2 linked regions of the Arabidopsis thaliana genome follow. The protein of the gene in region 1 interacts with the protein of each later gene in a pairwise test. Each region holds a gene or a part of one and is shown in the gene's direction. Other genes may lie near its edges.

Evidence for each region.
Region 2: the proteins of HSFB3 (region 1) and TCP9 interact in binary tests that used the Arabidopsis thaliana proteins (3 or more experiments, as listed by UniProt).

Annotation. Positions count from the first base shown.
Region 1 is NC_003071.7:17,379,551-17,383,308, forward strand, and holds HSFB3 (heat shock transcription factor B3), read left to right. Parts: upstream 1-2,096; 5' UTR 2,097-2,172; coding exon 2,173-2,469; intron 2,470-2,589; coding exon 2,590-3,027; 3' UTR 3,028-3,301; downstream 3,302-3,758. Other genes in the region: ABCA1 (ATP-binding cassette A1), read right to left, coding at 3,689-3,758. UniProt on the Arabidopsis thaliana protein: Transcriptional regulator that specifically binds DNA sequence 5'-AGAAnnTTCT-3' known as heat shock promoter elements (HSE).
Region 2 is NC_003071.7:18,819,876-18,823,633, reverse strand, and holds TCP9 (TCP family transcription factor), read left to right. Parts: upstream 1-1,744; 5' UTR 1,745-1,846; coding exon 1,847-2,917; 3' UTR 2,918-3,392; downstream 3,393-3,758. Other genes in the region: SSE1 (shrunken seed protein (SSE1)), read left to right, coding at 1-7, 108-169.

The DNA of each region.
Region 1 (3,758 bases):
GAGGGAAGGTGACAGACTATTTTTTCTTAAGTCAAAAAGTTAAGCTGACCAAAAAAGAGCAGCCCAATGAAAGCAAGGATCTTTATCTTTAGTCTAGTGTCTGAATTCCATGCACTTCCAATGTTTTAGTCAACAAAATGTACTTACATTTGATGACTTGATGTTGTATAGATTCGTTAGGAAGCCACATCACTAAACGTTAAGCATAACTTTATGGTTAAAAAAAAACCCCCCCACCGTGTTCTTACTTGTCATCCAAATTCGATCTGCCATTTGAAGTTTCCTAAGCTGTTCTTGATGACTATTCTTAAATTCGATGTTTATATCTTACCATCTAAATTAAGCCTTACAAGAGCTACATATCCAAGTAGTATATGCTGGAGTAGTTTTGTGATCCCTTAATCTTATTGTTCAACAAATAATTTCAACAGGACATATATATGGATCACTACTGTTAAAACGATATAGTAGAGCTTAAGCGTTAGGATTTGTATTATTAGTTGTCTCTCTCTTTTACAGACGCGTGGAAGGTACGCGCCGTCATAGGAACATTGTCGGTAATCCCCTTCAAACACCAGTAGTCAGTAGATCGATGACTTGAATTACATCACTGTCCCCTACTTTGACCAATAGAGATCTAAAGGTTTCCTTTCTTGCATTATTGTGCTAAAACCGACATTTACTTAAGTTACTTGATTATGTCTTGGAAAAAAAAAAAGATTTTAACTTTGGGAACTTTTATTCAACTGAAATTTTAAAGAATTATTTAATTTGGAATTCCTTCTATAAATTTACTGGCTTTTACCGTTATACGTTACCATAAACTTATATATATGATCAAATTCGACCGTGATGAATGATCACTTTTTTAACTTTCCATTCAGATCAACTGAACCCCCTTACTTTTTCTATATATACTCTTTTAAGCACTTGTTTATATATTATCAACAAATTAAGGTGTCGAAAGTAACATACAATTAGACAAAGCATGTATAGTCAAAAAGATAGATAGTCATCAATTTTGAAAAACGAGCAATTTACATGATCCTACAAAACAACAAAACTAACTATATGAAATATCAAGTTTATAATCATTTTTAAAAATACCATTACAAAAGATTTGTACTTTGAATATAATTTAACATGAAATTTAGAAAACGATCTGTTTAAGAATATAACTTCTGCTATGTGGTATTTTAACTGGTACTTTATAGAGAAAAAAAGATTGGTAATTAATGTGATATTTTTGCAATCCATATTATATATTCGAGAGATTTTACTAATGATAGTACTTGATTAATCATTAGAGAAAACTAAATCTTACAAATATAGGTAGACATGATGAATAATATGCATGATTTGCGTTTCGTAAATTGATAGTACCACCTCACCTAAAGGGGGTCCAAACGAGTTGCTTCATATCACAATATCCAATTTTACCAACATACATTAATATATGTGTATTCACATATATACCTCGTGATTAATATTTTTTTTAAAATCATTTTTCGTTTGTTTCCTATACGTCTAATCAAACACACACGTTACAACTAAAATTATATTGACAATATAGCTCGGTTGGTAAAAGCAACGACTACTGCAGTTTCCCTGAAAAACTTAAGACCAGTACTAAATATCAACTATACAAATTAAGTTGATATCAGTTTTTTTGGGGGTAAAGTAATCCAATATCATTCTAAAATTAAAAGCAAAATGTCGTTAGTTATACATGTTAGAGACGAGCGTTGTGTTTGAGAAAAAAAAGAGTTATGTCGTATAGTGGATTCGACGTAAATATTATCGATGGTTGGTTTCAAACCTGAAAAATTACATGTCATATTGTCATCAAACATCGATTTTCATTTGATATAAGAAAAATATATTTACAAACACAATCGTGTGTGTGTGTATGCATCATGATTATATGCATGTTAGTGTTAGAGTTACATATTCTATAGAATATGTAAATAGTTAGAAGCGTACGTTCCTTGAAAATTGTTCAAAGTATTTCTATTATTGTTTTCTTTTGTTAAAGTATTTCTATTATTGTCTCAACCACCTAATTAAATTAAATAACGTCTCTATCTCTTTCTATGGAGTCGTGTTACGTCTTTCTAGTTTGAGATCTTCTACTACTTGTTTTCTTCAAGAATAATAATTTTCGTTTTATATATGGAAGATGCTGGTGAACATTTACGGTGTAACGATAACGTTAACGACGAGGAGCGTTTGCCATTGGAGTTTATGATCGGAAACTCAACATCCACGGCGGAGCTACAGCCGCCTCCACCGTTCTTGGTAAAGACATACAAAGTGGTGGAGGATCCGACGACGGACGGGGTTATATCTTGGAACGAATACGGAACTGGTTTCGTCGTGTGGCAGCCGGCAGAATTCGCTAGAGATCTGTTACCAACACTTTTCAAGCATTGCAACTTCTCTAGCTTCGTTCGCCAGCTCAATACTTACGTACGTATATATGCTTCACTGTTTCAATCAGTATTTTAAACTATTTGTGTTTCTTTGAGTTTACTAAGTGTATTTGCTTAATTAAAGGCATTAATGAGTGTTGTTACAAAAATATTATAGGGTTTTCGAAAAGTAACGACGATAAGATGGGAATTTAGTAATGAGATGTTTCGAAAGGGGCAAAGAGAGCTTATGAGCAATATCCGAAGAAGGAAGAGCCAACATTGGTCACACAACAAGTCTAATCACCAGGTTGTACCAACAACAACGATGGTGAATCAAGAAGGTCATCAACGGATTGGGATTGATCATCACCATGAGGATCAACAGTCTTCCGCCACTTCATCCTCTTTCGTATACACTGCATTACTCGACGAAAACAAATGCTTGAAGAATGAAAACGAGTTATTAAGCTGCGAACTTGGGAAAACCAAGAAGAAATGCAAGCAGCTTATGGAGTTGGTGGAGAGATACAGAGGAGAAGACGAAGATGCAACTGATGAAAGTGATGATGAAGAAGATGAAGGGCTTAAGTTGTTCGGAGTAAAACTTGAATGAAACTAGATTGCTAGATTGATATTCGTAATATACCAGTTTCTTCATATTCTTAGAAGTTTTGCATAACTATATATAGTACTCTTTTAAGACATGCAAGATCAGAACATATGTCCGAGAAATATCGGATTCTTTGCTGTATTGGTTAAGTCTCGTGTTCATAACATGGTACATCGTGTGTATATATATAGCCATTAACTAAGAGAACGTTTTCTCATGTATTTGCGAAATTTAAAACTATTTTGGGTAGATGAGATGAGTTACATCTCACTTTGGGCTGTGGTCAGGATGATTTTGGTTATGTAAGCCGCGTTAATAATGGTATCACTAGCTGCAAAATGGTTGAATTTTGGTAAATCTCAACTCTCAACTTTCAACTCTCAAAGCAGGCCTAGAACTAGAAGTAAAAGATTGGCATTCTCTTATTTCGAATTTAGGCCAGAACATACGGCACATTAGGGTTTTTTCCAGATTTTTAGTTGATGGAAGATAAAATATGAGGCATCATGTATATAGACATTAAGACCACAGGTTTCTCATGTATATGTCATATTTACAACTATGTTGAGTACGCAGATGAGATTATAATAAGTGATCAGATCTCTCTTTGGGCTATGGTCACAAAGGGTTTTTGTTGTACAAGCCGCAATAATGGTTTCACTGGCTATGAGTTAGCTGCAAAATGATTGAATATGGTCTCAAGTGTGGATTGACTTATACTGTATTCAGCTATT
Region 2 (3,758 bases), 1.4 Mb from region 1:
CTCACAGGTTTACTTTTTAAAGCTTTCATTTCATTCACGAGATCACTGATTGTCTTGTCTACTTGCCATCTACTGACCTTATTTTGGTTCTCTCATGGAAATTGCAGAGAAAATTGTGGAGCTTTTGGAGGGAGCTCAGTCACGGTACACTTACATATCGGGATCGTGAGGTTAAGCGTTTTACTTATGGTTTATATGCAACGGAAGAATATTGCCATTGTTGGAATGCTTTTTCAGATCATCAAAGGCTCCTACAGATTTCTTAGGGAATGGTTTCAGGCTTTTGTTAGAAATTGTGTTTATTGCAACAGGTAGAGAACATAACCATAGACAGATGTATCTGAAGAGATAAGCTTCTCTATGTCTAAAGAAATGGACCGATACGAATAAAACAAGCATCATTAAAGATTAAATGGTTTGTAAGAAATACTACACTTATTTATGTGAAATTGTGTGGTTAGTGAAAAGTAAAAACATCGGAATCCAAAACCTCAAATTTACCAATCAGCCCAAATTATTGATGCTGGCGTAATGAATGGTATGCTGATGGTAGGCAAAAGTTGGTGGCTGCGAAAATTACAACATTATCCCTCTGTGGTGGACCCGAATCTGTAATCGGAAAAGGTGGAACCCACTTGGTTTAACTTTTAAGCCTAAAAGGTTACTACCGGTTTGACCGGTTTATAATTTGGTGTTTAATTCTAATCCCGGATCCGTTTGTTTGTTAATCTCAAGGCCACGTTATCGCCAATATTTTGATTTTTGAGTGGGTAGGGAATGGTGGGGTCGAATAGTTGGGCCTAGCCCTCAACAATGTGTGGAACTGAAGAGAGTAGGGTCCAGCTCAGGCCCACATTCACATTTTCGTTTTGTAGCCTTTCTTTTCTGGTGCTTACGGTCCCTCTTTCTGGTCGGTCGTATGTACAAGTAGCATAGCTAGTGGTTCAAACCCGAAACAAGTACCAACGAATCAAAATAAGTTTGAATCGGTTACATCTAGTTACCGTCGAACTTACAATCATTTCGATTACTTTGATCTGATTTCTAGTTCGGTTTGTATGTTTAATATCCGGATTGTACAAGTACACAAGTACATAAGTATGCGTATATGTATGTGACCGGTTTAATCAAAGGACGGACGATAGGAGGATTTTGGAATCCTGGAAAGAGGATTATTCCATAGACACTAATTAGCTTTTTGGTGGCGCAGCCTTGTGACCTACATTAATGGGGTCCAACCCCAAGTATGGGCTTACAGCTTTTTCCATAAAATTAAAGTAAATCTTTTTTTGCCTAACCAATAAAAATTATTGAAAATCTTTCCAACCATAGAAAAGTTAAATTTGATCAGCGATGGAAATTTTTGTACAAAGCTAGGTATTTCATTTGGGAGTGTACTAGTAACTAGTAAGTACTAACCAGAATGAGTTTCTGATTTTGGATTTTGAAGCTTTTCTTAGGTTAAAAAACAAGTATATTACTAAACAATAAAAGAAAAACATTTTGTGAAAAGAGAAATAAAGTTTACTGGACCCCATTGTACAGATGGTCCCATAATAATACTGATAGAAGATAGAGCAATGGAAAGTGATTTGTTCACGTGGTACAATCGGAATGGTTCTTTAAAGCTCATCGAACACATCAGGACCGTTGATTTTTCCCGCATCAAAAAGCGTTGAATACTATTCTCACTTGTTTTCCTGCTCCTATATATATATCCTGACGAGTCACATTTAGTAATCTCCTTGGACGTGTAACGCCGTTAAAACGATTCTTTCCCATTGTATCCGCTTTTAACAACTCTCGTCGTCATCTCCACCGTCCGTTTTCTCTCAGCTATATTTTAATGGCGACAATTCAGAAGCTTGAAGAAGTTGCAGGCAAAGATCAAACTCTAAGAGCCGTTGATCTAACCATCATCAACGGCGTCAGAAACGTCGAAACTTCAAGACCTTTCCAAGTAAATCCCACAGTGAGTCTCGAGCCCAAGGCGGAGCCGGTGATGCCGTCGTTTTCAATGTCTTTAGCTCCACCGTCTTCGACAGGACCACCATTGAAGAGAGCTTCGACTAAAGACCGTCACACGAAGGTTGAAGGAAGAGGGAGAAGGATACGGATGCCTGCCACGTGTGCGGCTAGGATTTTTCAATTAACTCGAGAGTTAGGTCACAAATCCGACGGCGAAACGATTCGGTGGTTGTTGGAGAACGCTGAGCCGGCGATTATAGCCGCCACGGGTACGGGAACGGTTCCCGCCATCGCCATGTCGGTTAACGGAACCTTAAAAATCCCGACGACGACGAACGCTGATTCTGATATGGGTGAAAATCTGATGAAGAAGAAACGTAAACGACCTTCTAACAGTGAGTATATAGACATAAGCGACGCCGTTTCAGCTTCCTCCGGTTTAGCTCCAATTGCCACGACGACAACGATCCAACCTCCGCAAGCTCTGGCATCATCCACTGTGGCTCAGCAACTTCTGCCGCAAGGAATGTATCCGATGTGGGCTATTCCATCAAACGCAATGATTCCGACGGTCGGAGCTTTCTTCTTGATTCCACAAATCGCTGGTCCGTCGAATCAGCCTCAGTTATTAGCTTTTCCCGCCGCCGCTGCTTCGCCGTCGTCTTACGTCGCCGCTGTTCAACAGGCTTCCACGATGGCTAGACCACCTCCTTTACAAGTTGTTCCAAGCAGCGGCTTTGTATCCGTTTCAGACGTTAGCGGTTCGAATTTATCAAGAGCGACGTCGGTTATGGCTCCGAGCTCAAGCTCAGGCGTAACAACCGGTAGTTCATCGTCAATTGCAACAACAACGACGCACACGCTGAGAGACTTCTCCCTAGAGATATACGAGAAACAAGAGCTTCACCAGTTCATGAGCACCACAACAGCACGGTCATCGAACCACTGAAGAAAAGAAAGGAAACGGCGGCGTATTAGTGATCGGAAAAAAAGCACGTGTGCACATGAAGAAGTGCACGTGTTAAGAAGTGGGCCTCGATTTTAGGCAGAAGTGGGTCAACACGCACCAAAAAGAGAGTGGAGGGAGGAGGAGAGGGGCCACACGGCTCCCACCTTACGCATAGCTTCCGAGGCAGCCAGGTTGGGTGTGGTCCCCAAATGGTTAGAGCTACGTGGTCCGTATGAGTAGGACCAGCTTAAGCTTAAGCATAATTCGAAACGTTTCGTTTTTTTGGTGGGGGCTCACCACTTTGTCTTGACTTTTTTGGTCTTTGTAATTTTACAAAATAAGATTTATTGAAGCCCTCTCTAAGTCATGGTCCACTCAACAACAATTGTGATATTGATGTTTTGATTTTATTAAAATCTGTAACAAAATAAATATTTCTATCTAAAATGAAAATACTAATGTTGTTTTCCTAAAATTGTTGTAGCATTACTTTTCAAATGATTCCATTTTCTTACAAGTGTTACAAAAGCTTTTTGCGAAAAAAGTCTCGTCCGTGTTATTGGCGGGGCCTAGTAAGCTTGATTGTACCACTAATACGGCGTTGTTTCGTGGGGCCTGAAAGCTTCCCACTCAAGGGACGCCTAGTTGGGTCAGCACCACCAGTTTAACGCTAAGGAAATAAAGGAACAGCCTGGCGTGGGTCATACTTGTGTCTATCTAATCTTTACCGTTCAATTCCATCGTCTTGTCCTAACCGTTGATTCTATTTCGTTCGTTGTTTAATTAGTACTAGTAGTAGTAGATATTTTCTTCTTGTCTACGGTCTCAACGCCAGACAGGA